Saccharomyces cerevisiae S288C: one gene and its partner. The gene in region 1 interacts genetically with each later gene. Each region holds a gene or a part of one and is shown on either strand. Other genes may lie near its edges.

Region 1 (8,647 bases):
CTTGATAAACGAAAAAAACATAAACAAATAAGGTAAGACTGCATTGTAAATCCTAGGAATGAGAAAGAACAGAGAAGCTAACTGCAATTATGAATGGTGTCTGTATACAATTAAATACTAATGTTGACGGAGAAAGAGAATAAAAGACAAGAATTAACTAAATATTGAAGAAGAGTAAAATACACAATAGAAAAGAATGACTCCTTTTCCCAACACTTGTAGGAGTGTTCAAACAGTTTCTTCATCAAATACAGTTTCGATGGGTTTTTCCATCAATGATGCATGTCCGAAAACGCTGACGGCAGAAGCACCGATCAACCATAGCAAAGTTGAGATTGGCGAAGCTAAGAAACCTATTGGCACAGCAACACAAACCAGTCCGGTGTATAGTTGGTTGGTCTTGAAAGAACCAAATGGAGTTACGAGCTCCTCACCCTTTAGTTTGTTTATACCAACAATACCAGCTACGACTAGAACAATAACAAAGAGTAGCAACAAGTTTGTTAATAATGTGTAAATGCTCAAACAACCAATAATCAAACCATAGTTACTGGAAAAGTACTTCAGGTTATACGCCACTCTGGATTGAACTTCCCCAAAGTTTTGAGGTTTGGAAATTTTCTTGAAATTGAAAAATTCTTGCGGGGTGCGAAGGGTTGCTAATTTAGATTGCAAGGATTGGAACTCGCTCTTAATATTTTCCATGGAGAAGTTTTGAGTGAAACGTGAAACTTGCTATAGAAATATAGAAAAAAGGTTAACGCGTTAGTATAGTTTTTCAATGATGCAAATGTGTTTACAATTTAGAACTTACGGCTAAAGCTCCTAACTGATTCATTATTGGAGTATTTGATGTTATTTTATGCGTATTTGACGGCTGATAGTTCCAAACTCAGTGTTCAAAGCCCTGCAATATTGAATTCAATCTGAATTCTTTCGATTTGTATTTATATTCGTTGTTATTATTTATTTTTTCTTTTTGCCTCGATTGCATGTGACAAAAGTGCAAAATTCGTATCGCACGACACAGAACTCCGCCACTAATTAGAACCAGAGAAGTAGCAATGAAGGCTCATTAGTAGGTTATATTTAATTGTTTACGTATTCATGTTACGACACGTCCCTTTTCAAAGACCTAAATCTTGTTTCACAAGAGCTTTACAGATTGGATGATACGTGTCCTTGAATTTGTCGAAAGTTGCAAGTGCCAATCGACGGTCTACAGAGTTTAATAGTCTGTAACCGGGACGGACAAACTTCATTCTACCTACAGTTCCCAACCAATCGGCCAAATGCTTATATTCTTCTTGCAGCTTGGCAAAGATCTGAAATTTGAACATCTTGAAAACAACTTCCGCGTTCTGTGATTTAACAATGTTATCTTGATAGATATCTAACAGTGCCCTAGATGCCACGGGAAACTTGGCCCAGTCAAAATCTTTTGGTTTCTTGTTGGAATGGCCATTTTGTGTCAAAGTTTCCAAGAACAAAACCAATTGATTTGAATTAAAATCCTTAATGTCAATAGCGTTAAATTCAGACCGGAAATCCTCTGTGGTTTTCAAATGTTGAGCCATTTCGACCCACTTGTCAGCCAATTGATAAACATTATCAGCCAAAGCCGTAATAAAATGAGGCCTTGGTGGCATACCTGGTTTATACAGCCAAGTTTCCCAGTCAACGGAATCCAAAATTTCTTTCTTTTCGGGATAGAACTCATACAAAGTATCCAAAAACTGGAAAGTATCCAATGATTTTTTGGCAAACTTCTTGAAATAGTGTCTAATAAATGGATCAAATTCAGCCTTACCACCCAAAATAGTTTCCAAGTGAAATAGTAAGTTGAACCCCTTTTCGTACGGAACAGTGGAAAAGGCATCGTCAGGGTCAGTGTTATCGTTCAAGTTTTGTACCAAAGTGGAAAATCTTTCAGGATCTTTCATAGAATCAATAGAATTCTGCAAATCGCTCCAACCAATCAGAGCACTGAAATGTCTAGTTGGTTCGCCATGAATGGCACCAATAATTCTTCTTTCTAAGTAAACGGTCCAACCTTCATTCAACCAAAAATGATTCCACGAACAATTGGTCACTAAGTTACCAGACCATGAGTGAGCAAGTTCATGGGCGATGACATCAATGTTGGATCTGTCATGTGCAATCAAGGTGGGCGTAGCAAAAGTCATATTCGGAGACTCCATACCGCCGTAAGGGTACGAATCGACGTTAACTAAGATATCATAAGTGCCCCACTCGTATTCAAAGATAATTTTCTCTGCAGTTTGAATGAATTTCTCTACATCGTTTTCAAATTCCCATTGACAATCTTTCAAACGAAATGGTTCAGTGTAAACTGTGGAACGAGGTCCAATTGGAGCGCTTGACAAATCACCGGAAGCAATACCGATCAGGTAGGCTGGGATAGGGACTTTCTGTTCAAATCTGTAAATATTAGTATCCTTGCTTGTATCTTCAATCCTGATGCCTGAAAAAACCACTGGTAGTGGGGACTCGATAGATGCAGTGAAAGTAGACTTCACAGAGGGAGTATCAAAGCAGGGGAACAAAGACCTCGCATGAATAGCTTCCAACTGTGAAAACACGTACGGTTTACCGCCCTTGGTTTGCTTGCTGTTCAACCATTGCAAAGCGGTGCACTTGTCAGTCGTACGAAATTGAATATTCAAGGTAAAGTTATCGTTGCAAGAAGCGTTATTGATGACTAACCTGGAGCCCAATGGCTCCTTTCTTTGCTCAATTTGAAAATCTGCCTTGGAACCATCAATATGAACCTCCTGGACATCCAAATAGGATGTATCCAGATGTAATTCATCCGATTTATTTTTACCTTCGTGCAGTTTTTTCAATTGGAATGTAACGCTCCCTGAAATGGCTGACTTTTCGAAGGAAACAGACAGGTTTAAATCGGTGTGAAGAACTGCGAAGTCCTTATAATTTGATAAAGTAGACTGATCGTATTCGGGGGAGCGGGAAGGTCTTCTCTGCTCAATTGAAAGAGGCAACATTTTATGAGGGGTGGAAATGTGTATGTTTCTTGAGATTACAGTAAGTAAACCTCGAAATCGAAGCGTGGGCAGGTAAATAGAGCTGGAATGACGAATGACAAATGGAAGCAAGAACATCAATTAGAACACCAAGATAACCTAATACATAAAGCAAACTATACTAAAGTGCGTTTATATAAGTCAAACGAAAAAGTGGAAGAAAAAAAGTGACATGATTTTCCATACGCAATGCCCCCGGAAACTGAAGACGCATTGTGTCAAAAGATGAATGAAAGCCACGACGAAACAGCCGAAAATGGTGACAGGAGAGGGCCAACGAGCCCCGTGAGAAGACCTGTGTAGGGCGTACCCATGAAGGAGGCCCCTATGATTTTCCATTTGGAAACACTCAGGATGTTTTCTGATGACTGGATGATGATGTCCTTGAGGACCAGGAGACAGCCAAAAAATACAATTGAGATCGCGAGCACAACAACCAAAGGCCTTGTGTTGATGTCATAGCGAACATACCTTTCATTGATATGATGCGTAGATGGCGTTACTGACGGTGAGCTGTTGTACATAGAGTTTTTGACTCTCACGCTTTGATTATCCCTAAAATCACCCGGAATTCTGTACTGGGATTCAACCGGCACTGCCTGCTTCTGTACCCTTCTTTTATGCAGCAGCTTCCGCAGTTGGTTAGTGGTTCCGCATTTCTGTGATTTGCTTCCATCTACAGTTGAAGTTTTCCTCTTAAAGAATTGCCCAATTGACCTCTTTGATACGTGCTCCATTAATATCTTGCGCCGAAATTGTCACACTATGCTCACGTATGATTAGTGTATTTATATATGAATAATTCAAATGGCAGGCAGTTTCTTGTTCGAGCCAGCATTGGCGAAAAAAATGCCAAAAGTAGAAGTAAATACGGTAGACACTCCAGCAAGATAAAGCTGCAATATATAACACATCACGGCGATGCTTGTATATTTAGGAGCTCTTACGTCCACCAATGCTAATATATCCTCCTAATGATGGCGCTGATACTGGTAAAAACTCATAATGGTAGTAGTCATTAGCCAATACCTGCCTCTTTTTTCCGGGTCATGCCGCATTCTTTAATCAAAAGGCGATGCAACCTACTACATGAGAAGATGACCGCGCAAGCAAAGGTTTAGGAGAGCGTTATACGCTTTACCCAGCCGTCCATTGCACCATGTCTTACCAACGGAACAGTGCAAGAGCCTCTCTTGACCTCAGAAGTCAATATCAACAACTGGAAGGCAGAATGAGGTCAGAACATTTTAATCCCGCCTATCAACAGCAGCAACAAAAAGGCCAGAACATACCCCTGTCACTACCCTCGTCGCTTGCGCAACGCAATCCTATACCTTACCCTATCGACGCTGTGACTTCCGATCCCACTATCCCGGCTCAGTTGAACGTATATGATCACGATCGGCAAAATTCGATAGTCGATGCTGCGGCTGGCACCAATACGACGCACTCTTTGAACTCTAATAATATTCCATCATCACAAAATAATAATATTAATAATAACAATATCAATAATGTTGGTTCCTTCACTGACCCTTCCATGCTAACGCTGCCAAAAATGTCTTTACATAGCCACCAGAAGCAGTATGATTCTAACCAAAACGATCCTAGGTCCCCTCTGGCGATACTGATACCGACTTCTGCGCAGCCCACTGATGTCTTGTCTGCTAGGTTTTCTGCCTGGAGAAATGTTATTCGTGCCATCTTGGTATATCTCTCTGAGACCGCCTCAATACAGGACGAAATAGTTAGACAGCAACTGAGGTTGTCCCATGCTGTGCAGTTCCCCTTTTTCAGCATTGAAAACCAATATCAACCGGTCTCTAATGAAGACAAGTCCATGCAGAAATTTTTTCTGCCCTTAGGAAGTGGATCCGTTCAAGATTTGCCCACGATGCTGACCAAGTATCATGATAATCTGGCCTCTTTGGCATCGAAAAGTTCCAAGGAGTTGACCAGTGAAATTATACCCAGGCTAGAGGATTTGAGAAGAGATTTACTAGTCAAGATTAAAGAAATTAAGGCTTTGCAATCTGATTTTAAAAATTCCTGTAACAAAGAGCTTCAGCAAACTAAACACTTGATGAAGCTTTTTAATGAATCATTAAAAGAATGTAAATTAGGTACACCAAAGAGTGACCCATTTTTGATAAAATTGCAATTGGAAAAGCAAATCAAAAGACAGTTGGTGGAAGAAAATTATTTGCACGAGGCATTCGATAACTTGCAGAATTCAGGGGCCCAGTTAGAAAGTGTTATTGTAATGGAAATACAGAACGGATTGACCAGCTACGCTAGAATTCTTGGCAAAGAAGCCCAAGTTGTATTTGACTCAGTTATCTCTAAATTAGATTCCACGATACTGAACAAAAACACGAATCTTGAATGGGATAGTTTCATTCTAAGGAATATTTCCAATTTTGTGCCTCCAAATTTACCCATGAGGAGGTTTAAAGAGATCTCGTATAGCAATCAAAACGATCCTTTTACTTTTGAAGTTAAATCTGGGTTTCTGGAGAAAAGATCAAAATTTTTAAAGTCATACTCACGTGGGTTTTATGTCCTCACTCCAAGCTTTTTACATGAATTTAAGACACCAGATAAGCATAAATTTTCCACACCGTTAATGTCAATACCATTAGTGGAATGTACTGTCACTGAGCATTCCAAAAAGACGAAATCCAACTCAGAGCAGGGCAAGAACAAGTTTATATTGCGTACGAATTCTAACGGACTAATACATAGGGGTCACAACTGGGTATTCAAAGTAGACTCTTATGACGATATGATAGAATGGTTTGGAAATATCAAAGCCTTATCAAGTTTGCCCAACTATGACGACAAATGCAAATATGTGAGTAAAGTTGCCAAACTGTCTAAAGAAAAAGCCAAGAGTAATGAAAACACCACGGAGAGCGTGACCCCCCAGGTAACTAATGAGCAACATACGAGATACGATGATGTGAGTAGTAGCAATTTTCCCTTGAATTCCATTCCAAAATTAGACAATTTGACAATCACTAACACCACGTCATCGATACCGGAAACGAATGATTCACAAATTCAGAATAGGGTTCCTGAATTTTACATTGAAAATGTAGATTCCCCTAGAAAAAGCAATCAGCTGTGACAAGTAAGTTAATTATATAGTAATGCTCTAGTTTGTATGTAATATTATGTATAAGTTTTCTCATAAACAAGGCTTCTATTTTCAAAAAACATCAGCCCCTTTCCTCCTCTTCTAATAATTTACAAATAGGATTCAGTACAAAGTTTTCCCAATCTTTATCAAACTTCAAATCAGAGAATTTATACAATGAATACTGCTGGTTTCTTGCGCCCATCACCCTTAGGCAGTCATAGTCCAGTTTCGTAATTTGTAAGAAAAGGTCGGACAAATTAGGGTATCTCAGAGGATCTTTGGTTGTGTTATAATCAGGATCACTCGGCTCTTTAAAGAAAAATCCAGTAGTTTCACCATCATCTTCGAGTTTTGCAAAATATTTCTTTTGTAACTCCCATTGTGGTGGAGCTTTTCCGATATTCCCGTTGGCATCCCATGGAGTAACTATATCTAACAATGGGCCCGCCGAGGCATGAACTATGGGGATCAAACCGGAAGCCATATACTCTACAACTGCAATTCCAAAGTGCTCATTCCACATGGCATTAACACCGAAAGTAGATTTGTTTAGTAATATTTCAATCTTATCGAAGGGCAGATTTTTTTCGAATGATATCAAATGTTTAGGAATTTTTAATACATTTTCTGACCAGTCTTGTAAACTTTTAACATAATTTTCATCTTGCTTGGATCTAGTGGACCCCGCCATTATCAATTTAATTGGCGATACAGAATCCGGTAAATTTTTCAAGAAAGTTGCAAAGGACTCAATGATTAACTTATGACGTTTCTCAGGACGAAATTGTGCCAACACAATTGCTTGATTTAATCTCTCACCCTTTGCAGTACCAAACTTTTGCTTCCAATCTACTAATTTCTCAGTAGAGCATGGAGGATATATAATTTTACACGTATTGGATTGCCAAATTTGCTTTATGTGGTTATTTGTCCATGTTGAGTTTGTGATTACAATATCAATTTTAGAACCAATGGATTGATAAATTAACATAAAAACTTTCCAGTATAATATTTTACCGTAAACTTTGATACCCTTCTTGGGCATTTTGAACAGCTTATTTAACATGTCTTTTGACATTATCGGATAATGCGTATATGTGACGATAGGAATTCTCCTCAAAAACCTAGCAATAATAGGATAGCTGAAAGGGTACCCCATTGTATCAATCCATATATCAGGTGGACACTGAATAATGGATTCAAATGCGAGAATCATTGATCCAATTGCTTGTCCAATCAACGTGAAATGCTTCCATGTTGAAGAATCCACCAAGTATCTTAGCTTCAATGAAATGAAAAATATTCTATCCGAATCCAAGTCGTAATCGAACTTCGCTTTCACATTATTTAGAATATTCTCCGGAGTAACATTCTCTCCATTCACAAAATCCCCTGAATAAATGACAATAACGTTCTTAGCATCTTTTCTCAAAGTGATATCTACAGCTTTCCAGAGCACTTTTTCCCCACCACCACCAGCATTACAATACGGATGAAAAAAACCAAAAACTTTCACATTCTTCTCACCACAGGAGGCAACTGCTCTGTTCAGTAATGAAGATTTTTTGGAGAACGGATTCAAGCTGGAATACACCCATTGACGGAAGATCCACGTGAGAACCTTAATTAGTCCATACACTAGTACTAAAGATGATACAACATATTTTTTGAACCCAAAATGAGACTTAACCTCTTCAAAATTGTAGTTTGTCCAAGCACTGCCCATTTTCGCCTGCAATCACCTGAACATGTTGGTCACACTTGGATACTAACATCTATCTTCACTTCACTTACCTCTCAATCTTATTATTTATTGAACTTTTCACTTTTTGTTTAGCTTACCCGAAGGACATAGATGTAGCGATGACAACGATGAATGATACGTCAGTTAAAAGGGTCTTCGTCGAACTCTTCATCTAACCCTTCATTTGCAGTGTGCTTGGTTGATGAACCTTCTTCCATTAATGATCGACAGCTGCAGTGAATAATGTCTCATCATAAGAAGAGGGTGTACCCTCAAGCTCAGGTGCCATACATTGCAAGTATGCCAATAGTTGCAGAGCAACAGCAGTCTCAACAACAAATCGACCAAACAGCTTATGCAATGGGCAACCTACAATTGAACAATAGGGCTAACTCATTTACACAGCTAGCTCAAAATCAACAGTTTCCTGGTTCTGGGAAAGTGGTCAATCAACTATACCCTGTGGATTTGTTTACAGAATTACCTCCGCCAATCCGTGACCTGTCTTTACCACCTCTTCCAATCACCATTTCTCAGGATAACATTGTGACTCCATCCGAATATTCAAATGTTCCATACCAGTACGTCAGATCTACTTTGAAAGCGGTGCCAAAAACAAACTCTCTGCTGAAGAAAACGAAGTTACCATTTGCCATTGTTATTAGACCATATTTGCATTTGCAAGATTCAGACAAC
Region 2 (9,126 bases), on another chromosome or scaffold:
ACACAGATATGATTTCAGTTAATGAACGAATCGGATGTTCTTATGATACCTCTGTGAGAGCAATTAATGTTCTTGCTGCACTCTAAAGGACGATACAAAGCTGGCGGTGAATGGTGCTGCACGCTCTTCTTGTTTGTCCACTTGTTGCCACTGAACAAACTAAGGAGAACCGACGGTCGAAATGAAAAAAAAAAAATGTTTAAAACCGACAATCGTCTTTAGTGAGTAAAGTCATGCGGGTAATGGAGGTCCGGGTTACCGTATGATAGTCCCTAATATAGACTCATATATATATATATATATTCTGATGGTAATGAAATTCGAATATACGGCATTTTAGCACCTTAATCTCGTAATATCCTTTTCGAGAGTTTGGCCTCGTACTTCTTGAAATCTGCGTCTATCAATTTCTCGTCTTTTTCCTCTTCAGTGTCGTTGTCAGCATCCACCTCTGAATCGCTTGCCTCGCTATCGTTAGCCCAAAGAGTATATTCATCATTTTTATCACCATCTTCCTCGTCGCTGATGTCGATAATGTCTCTGAGCACGCTTGTGTATTTTGTTCTTTTATCTTTCGTGCTGTTGTTGGCCGTCAGCGTCTTGATATGCCCATTATCTTCAACTATTTCACCAGTTTTCAGGTCTACGAGGTCTCCTTGTTCTTCAATAGACTCGTATTTGCTTATGATGTTGGACCACACTTTTCTCATGTTTTCGTCTGCTAGTTTGTGGCGCTCCATGACTTCATCATCGGTTAGTTTAGGGATGATGTGGTTTTCCTTGGACATTATATACACATGACCATTTCTTTCAGCAATTGGCCGTGAAATTCCATCGTCCTTTTTGGTCTTCCGTTTTTCGATATTTGGCGGATATACTCGATGAACAGGATTGCAATCGCTATGTTTTCGTATTTTGGACTCACTCTTCTTGCCGGACTCTTTCAATAGTCCTTTTAAGGCACCATGGAGATTTTTCAGGCTTCTTCTTTTAGAAATTTTCTTATTGGTTTTCATCCTTCTGTTAATTTGTAGTGGAGGCGTCGATATGCTGTATCCCACTTTTTGTTTATATATCATCTGATCCATTAGCTGAAAAATCGCGGTACTGAAGCTTTTTTCATGGCGCCCTTGAAACTTTCTCCTTCCGCCTGCGCATTATATAAAATACGTTACAATAGGAAAAGATGACAGTTACTTAAAGTAAAGCTTCACAGCTTCAGACAAAAAAAGTATGAAACTTGTGAAGATGTTTTTATGCTGATCCGGCAGACGGCCATTCCATTATTTAGTTCTGATTTTAGTGGAAAAACTTTCGAAACTTAAAATAATAATAGCCCATTCTTGGACTGAGGTACATTTTCTTCTTATTGGATTTCGTTTATTAGCTGTTTAACATATTTCTGTAGGGTTTTTTTTTTTTTTTTTGTACAGATTAGAAACCATACAGTGTAAACCATTATATAGGTCAATTAATATATTTATAGATCATCCTGTCAATTTTTTTTTATTTTTTTTTGCAAAGCTCCCTTTTTCCTGAAACCAACAACAAAATATAAAAAAAAAATGATAAGCAGGATTTTTTCTTTTAATAATTCCTTAAAATTAACTAACAAGCTGAAGCCCTTACAACAAAGTAAGTCAAACCCAATTCACAAAAAAAAAATCTGTTTTATTTCAGATATGCAGGGTATATACATGGCACAGATAACCTTTTAATGAAAAGTAGCAATTGTGATACTAGCGCCTTTTTCCTTGCAAGAAAAGGGTTCCCTGTTCCTGCATCGTCCATCGGCATAGAGATGTCGCCGCTACCCTATCCAATTCTACCGCATGCCTAACAAAATGATTTCCGATTTTTTCAATCTAACTCCGTCATTTCTTATCTGAGTTTTCCTCCCCGAGATAAATTGAACAAAGAATTTAATCGGCTCATATGTGAAAAAGTGTGATACTTACCGCAATGGGCAAAAATTATTAAAAAAAATCTAATTCCGCGCTTGGCTATTATCTCATTACCGACTCAACGGTGACTACCTGCCGTACACGCTTCCCCTTTGCTTCTTCCTCCACCTCGAAAGTAGAACATATACATGGAACAGACATAAGCTCTTCAGCGTATCTATTTCATAAGTGGAGAGCATCGAACAATAAACCTTTGCCTAATTTCATATAACATCCAGTATTCATTTTTTTTAGTTGACGCTAAGGCATTCGCTTGTGAAATTAAAGAGCAGATCAGGAATAGTATCAATAGTCTAAACCATCAAGTTGCACAGAAACCACTATATATATATGGAAATATCTCGAATATTGCTTGTATGAACGATAGCCAAAACTGCCTACGACAGAGGGAAGAAAATAGTCATCTGAATCCTGGAAATGACTTCGGCCACCACCAGGGTGCAGAATGTACGATAAATCATAACAACATGCCACACCGCAATGCATACACAGAATCTACGAATGACACGGAAGCAAAGTCCATAGTGATGTGCGACGATCCTAACGCATACCAAATTTCCTACACAAATAATGAGCCGGCGGGAGATGGAGCTATAGAAACCACGTCCATTCTACTATCGCAACCGCTGCCGCTGCGATCGAATGTGATGTCTGTCTTGGTAGGCATATTTGTTGCCGTGGGGGGCTTCTTGTTTGGGTATGACACTGGACTTATAAACAGTATCACGGATATGCCGTATGTTAAAACCTACATTGCTCCGAACCATTCATATTTCACCACTAGCCAAATAGCCATACTCGTATCATTCCTCTCCCTAGGAACATTTTTCGGTGCGTTAATCGCTCCCTATATTTCAGATTCATATGGTAGGAAGCCAACAATTATGTTTAGTACCGCTGTTATCTTTTCCATCGGAAACTCATTACAGGTGGCATCCGGTGGCTTGGTGCTATTAATCGTCGGAAGAGTGATCTCAGGTATCGGGATCGGGATAATCTCTGCTGTGGTTCCTCTTTATCAAGCTGAAGCTGCGCAGAAGAACCTTAGAGGTGCCATCATTTCCAGTTATCAGTGGGCTATCACTATTGGGTTACTCGTGTCCAGTGCAGTATCGCAAGGAACTCATTCCAAAAATGGCCCGTCTTCATATAGAATACCAATTGGTTTGCAGTACGTTTGGTCAAGTATTTTAGCTGTGGGCATGATATTCCTTCCAGAGAGTCCAAGATATTACGTCTTGAAGGATGAACTCAATAAAGCTGCAAAATCGTTATCCTTTTTAAGAGGCCTCCCGATCGAAGATCCAAGACTCTTAGAGGAGCTTGTTGAAATAAAAGCCACTTACGATTATGAAGCATCGTTCGGCCCGTCAACACTTTTAGATTGTTTCAAAACAAGTGAAAATAGACCCAAACAGATTTTACGAATATTTACTGGTATCGCCATACAAGCTTTTCAACAGGCATCTGGTATCAATTTTATATTCTACTATGGAGTTAATTTTTTCAACAACACAGGGGTGGACAACTCTTACTTGGTTTCTTTTATCAGCTATGCCGTCAACGTCGCCTTCAGTATACCGGGTATGTATTTAGTGGATCGAATTGGTAGAAGACCAGTCCTTCTTGCTGGAGGTGTCATAATGGCAATAGCAAATTTAGTCATTGCCATCGTTGGTGTTTCCGAGGGAAAAACTGTTGTTGCTAGTAAAATTATGATTGCTTTTATATGCCTTTTCATTGCTGCATTTTCGGCGACATGGGGTGGTGTCGTGTGGGTGGTATCTGCTGAACTGTACCCACTTGGTGTCAGATCGAAATGTACCGCCATATGCGCTGCCGCAAATTGGCTAGTTAATTTCACCTGTGCCCTGATTACACCTTACATTGTTGATGTCGGATCACACACTTCTTCAATGGGGCCCAAAATATTCTTCATTTGGGGCGGCTTAAATGTCGTGGCCGTTATCGTTGTTTATTTCGCTGTTTATGAAACGAGGGGATTGACTTTGGAAGAGATTGACGAGTTATTTAGAAAGGCCCCAAATAGCGTCATTTCTAGCAAATGGAACAAAAAAATAAGGAAAAGGTGCTTAGCCTTTCCCATTTCACAACAAATAGAGATGAAAACTAATATCAAGAACGCTGGAAAGTTGGACAACAACAACAGTCCAATTGTACAGGATGACAGCCACAACATAATCGATGTGGATGGATTCTTGGAGAACCAAATACAGTCCAATGATCATATGATTGCGGCGGATAAAGGAAGTGGCTCGTTAGTAAACATCATCGATACTGCCCCCCTAACATCTACAGAGTTTAAACCCGTGGAACATCCGCCAGTAAATTACGTCGACTTGGGGAATGGTTTGGGTCTGAATACATACAATAGAGGTCCTCCTTCTATCATTTCTGACTCTACTGATGAGTTCTATGAGGAAAATGACTCTTCTTATTACAATAACAACACTGAACGAAATGGAGCTAACAGCGTCAATACATATATGGCTCAACTAATCAATAGCTCATCTACTACAAGCAACGACACATCGTTCTCTCCATCACACAATAGCAATGCAAGAACGTCCTCTAATTGGACGAGTGACCTCGCTAGTAAGCACAGCCAATACACTTCCCCCCAATAAAAACCAATAGCATCTTACGATCGTTCGAGGTCTTATAAACCGTTTTATATAAATTATTCTTATACACGCACTCTTGAGTTTCTTTTAACATTCCAACATGATAGACATAGAAAAGAATTATAGATAACACATAACATTACTCACAAGTAGCCCATGAGTTTGATTTTTCCTCGTTAATTCGGTGTCAAGTGGAATACAAAATGGGTCAACTGATCATAACTATTACCCGGATAATCTACATCATGTGGTACGTTAACGATGTATGGTTTCCTAAATCACCGGGTTCCAGATGCGGGTTGTTGTTGTTCGATCTTGCACCTCCACGTACTCCTTTTGAATAGTACACATATACCCTTACAGGAGATCGGACGTGTGCGATTATTGTTACCTCGTCACCTGTTATCGGTTGAACTGTTTTAGCTCTTTCCATTCCCTTTGTTAATAGTAGTTTAATTCTTCGGAAACTTTCTACGCAGACTCAAGTTGCAATAGGCTAAAGATAAGGCAGACACTTTGTATGTAACGAGTTTCATTAGGAGGGATAGACGCACGACACTATCTGGTACTACGTGTTATATCATACCCAGAAGGAAGGACTCTCTCCACTGAACGGTGGGATGAGTTCCTAAAGGCGCCCCTTTATTTGATCAGGAAGCCGTATTGATTATCTAATAGGGCCTAGTTATCCTAATTGTGGGGAGTCGAGCAGTACGGCTCTGATGTTTTTCGAACGAAGATAAGGAGTTGACATACAAAGTCAACAGAAGTTCTTCTTGTTAGCGTCTCTGTGCTCAATATCTCTCTTTTTTTCTTTAAGTAGTAATTACTAACATCAGCCAACCAATAGAGATAAAAAAAAAAGGAATTAAGATTTCATAGAGAAAAGATGGGTCTATACGCTTCTAAGTTATTCAGCAATCTTTTTGGCAACAAAGAGATGCGTATACTTATGGTTGGTCTAGATGGTGCCGGTAAGACCACCGTTTTGTACAAGTTGAAGTTGGGCGAAGTTATCACTACCATTCCAACCATTGGTTTCAACGTTGAGACTGTCCAATATAAGAACATTTCCTTCACTGTCTGGGACGTCGGTGGACAAGACAGGATTAGATCTTTATGGAGACACTACTACAGAAACACCGAAGGTGTTATTTTTGTCATCGATTCCAACGATAGATCGCGTATTGGTGAAGCCAGAGAAGTCATGCAGAGAATGCTGAATGAAGATGAATTGAGAAATGCTGTCTGGTTAGTCTTCGCTAACAAACAAGATTTGCCAGAAGCCATGTCTGCTGCTGAAATCACCGAAAAATTAGGTTTACATTCTATTAGAAACCGTCCATGGTTTATCCAGTCTACTTGTGCAACCTCGGGTGAAGGTCTGTACGAAGGTCTGGAGTGGTTAAGCAACAACTTGAAGAATCAATCCTAATCTAAATCTGTATAGAACGTTTAGTCATGCGGACCTTGTGTGTTTTGTTTCTAGATTGTTTTATTTTTATGATTGTTGAAGATATAAACCACTGTATAGTTGTATAAGATAGGATAATGATGGTGCACTGAAAATAAACTTACTAGCTCTTTAATATTGCAACGGCTTGTAACGGGCGCCATGATGACATTCAGAATTATACCACTACTATATGAAAAAATGAAAAGAGGCCCTGCTTTGAACCCGTACATTTTATTCTATAATATTGCATCTGTGGTTTGCCTGACGGCAGCGAGTCCAACACAAAGTCTGGCATATGCTACGAATTTTCCACCATGGATTCAGCACCCAAACATTTGAATTTTTTTTCATGTCGATTGTGAAATTTTACTGAAGATGAGGGTAAATAGAGGCCTGCAATCGTCATCATATGAGAAATGGATATATTGAAAATCTACTCACATCTCTTTTTTGGGGGTTTGGTAGTACAGTGAGAACACGATAAAGAACCAAATAGGACTAAAAATGGTATGTAGAGATGAATATACATGAAACGGACGTGATATAATGTGCTATGGAAGAAAAAAGTCTCCTTTAATGTCTGCAGGATAAATAATCAAGTGGTCTGAAGAAAATTTACAGCTACAGTATTACTGCAAACCTTGCAGGCAAATATCAGAGAGATCTCACCAGCTACAACTTGGTAACAGAAATTTATAAGTTTATGGCACTTGTTAAAATTGTTTGGAAGTTTTCGAAATTATAATATTGGTCTTCAGAAACCTGGAACCACATGTGAACTATTTTTTTTGGATAATGCATTGCACAGAGCGTATTAGTGTATACGAGAATCTAAAAATTTGAAACTGGCTCATAAAAACAGGAACTTTTACTAACAGTTATGATTTTTTGTTCCCATTTTCTTATCAATAGGCCGGCGTTAAAGCTTACGAACTAAGAACCAAATCCAAGGAACAATTAGCTTCTCAATTGGTTGACTTGAAAAAGGAGTTGGCTGAATTGAAGGTCCAAAAGTTGTCCAGACCATCTTTGCCAAAGATCAAGACCGTCAGAAAGAGTATCGCCTGTGTCTTGACCGTCATCAACGAACAACAAAGAGAAGCTGTTAGACAATTATACAAGGGTAAGAAGTACCAACCAAAGGACTTGAGAGCCAAGAAGACCAGAGCTTTGAGAAGAGCTTTGACCAAATTCGAAGCTTCCCAAGTTACCGAAAAGCAAAGAAAGAAGCAAATCGCTTTCCCACAAAGAAAGTACGCTATCAAGGCTTAATTTCGTTAGATTATCATTTTAATATTTGATTTTTGGATATAGTTTAATTTGTATTTTTTAAGAACACCAAACGGCAATTTATTTTATTAGTGATCTACTAGCTAAATCAATATACTACATTAAATTTTTATTTGCCATCTTTGTCATAGGATCCGACGTCATAATCAGTCAGGAGCCCTACCCCTATACTTCAATTTGAAATTAAGAAAAAAAAAGTGTAGTAGAACAGGAAAGTCGTATTAATCCATATGTAGATAAAGGTATGCTCTTGTTTATACAGGCCATATCTACATTGTGCATTTCAAGAACTTATTATTTTTTGACAATTTCGACCCCCCAATTTAAAGTCAAGTGGTTAGTTTTATCATCATCAATGAATTTTGATACGGCACTGTAGTTACCTCTTGCTAAAAACCCACTAGGTGCTTCACTTTCCGGTAGTTCCACCTCATAAAATGGTTTGGTCTTGGTATTAGGAGCATACGATCCCAAATGATCGTCTATCTTGTCAACGGCAATACCCGCTTTTTTGATATACTGGACATATCGCAACCCTGTGATAATTTCATGTTGAACTTTGAACACAATCTTCAACTTATAAATAGAATTTTCTTTAATTTTGTATCTTTTAGATGCCAGTTCTTTGATTGTCTTTTCGTTGGTAAGATCAAATGTGATAGGATTTGGTTCTGTATTGACTAGTAATTGAATTTTTTGAACAACCACCTTCCTTTTGTCACCGGGAAATTCCAATGGCAAGACGTCTGAACTTAGACCCAAAGACTCTTTCCATTTCGCCAAGGATTCGTCTTCAGCATCCAGATTTTTGTATTCGTCAACAGTTTTTTTGGCTGAAACTTTATACTGATCGTTGTTTCTCTCCTCTTCGAATTGACTAAAGTCGGTACTTTCTTCGGCCATTATTCAGTTTTTCTCTAATAAAAAAGCTCAATACTCGAGTTATTCGTGTGGCTAGAAAAAGAATCAAAGTAATACAAGCAGCCTGAAGAATGGAAGTTCTTTCCACTCAATCTTTATAACGTTTCCCTGATCTATCGCGAAATTTAAACGATCGCGTTAGAGAACCGTTTCACCCGGAGTAATGATCAGAATGATTAAAGCGTTGGGGAGGAAAAAAAGCCTCGTATTGATTGATATATCTGAAGAATAATAAAAGAAGAAAATTTGCAAGGCAATTTGCAGTTTATTTTTGGCTAAATGTGTAATTAACTATGATAATGGTAAAGGAGAAAAGTGAATATATATCTATATAGATGCATATATGTATACATACTCATAAAAAGTAATCTGGCGTCTTTCTGCTGACGCTAGGTTCACCTGGTCTTACGGATGGGTCGTACTGTAAGAATTGTCTATTATGATTCTCGTCCACTTCCATGATAGCTGCTTGATTACCACATCTGTAGCAGTAATTAGGAGCACTGAAAATGGTGACAACATTTTGCTGGTGAGACCAAGCATAGCCTTCCATTACCAATTGGTGAGCTCTTGCTATTAGTGATAGATCATTAGTGTGATTGAATTGCTCACTGACATCTTGTCCAAAAGTGAAGCCTGCACCTCTGGGACTGATTCCCCATCCGCCTCTATCGTCAGGGTCTGACCATAGAAGGTCACACATAGGACCTTCATGAGGCACTTCCTGTATTCTGTTCAACTCTCTCACCTGATCTATGGTTTCTATCATGGGGGAAAGTCCTCCATGCAGACAGAAAATTTTATTATCTACTAATGCGGTTATAGGAAAATAATCGAAAAGATCTGTGAA

Evidence for each region.
Region 2: mutations in SLM2 (region 1) and RGT2 together harm fitness more than expected from each alone (negative genetic interaction), as found in Saccharomyces cerevisiae (2 studies listed by BioGRID).

Annotation. Positions count from the first base shown.
Region 1 is NC_001146.8:537,459-546,105, reverse strand, and holds SLM2 (phosphatidylinositol 4,5-bisphosphate-binding protein), read left to right. Parts: upstream 1-4,224; coding exon 4,225-6,195; downstream 6,196-8,647. Other genes in the region: YIP3 (Yip3p), read right to left, coding at 229-735, 815-838; LAP2 (bifunctional aminopeptidase/epoxide hydrolase), read right to left, coding at 1,128-3,143; YNL046W (uncharacterized protein), read right to left, coding at 3,284-3,802; alpha-1,2-mannosyltransferase ALG11, read right to left, coding at 6,287-7,933; COPII subunit SFB2, read left to right, coding at 8,195-8,647. UniProt on the Saccharomyces cerevisiae protein: Together with SLM1, effector of the TORC2- and calcineurin-signaling pathways. Phosphorylated and activated by TORC2 under favorable growth conditions. Mediates actin polarization via inhibition of calcineurin-dependent transcription.
Region 2 is NC_001136.10:211,031-220,156, forward strand, and holds RGT2 (glucose sensor), read left to right. Parts: upstream 1-2,320; coding exon 2,321-4,612; downstream 4,613-9,126. Other genes in the region: SCM3 (Scm3p), read right to left, coding at 345-1,016; Arf family GTPase ARF2, read left to right, coding at 5,499-6,044; 60S ribosomal protein uL29 RPL35B, read left to right, coding at 6,570-6,572, 6,978-7,337; RDI1 (Rdi1p), read right to left, coding at 7,650-8,258; phosphoprotein phosphatase 2A catalytic subunit PPH21, read right to left, coding at 8,632-9,126. UniProt on the Saccharomyces cerevisiae protein: Low-affinity high glucose sensor that is part of the sensor/receptor-repressor (SSR) glucose-signaling pathway, which detects extracellular glucose and induces expression of glucose transporters that bring glucose into the cell.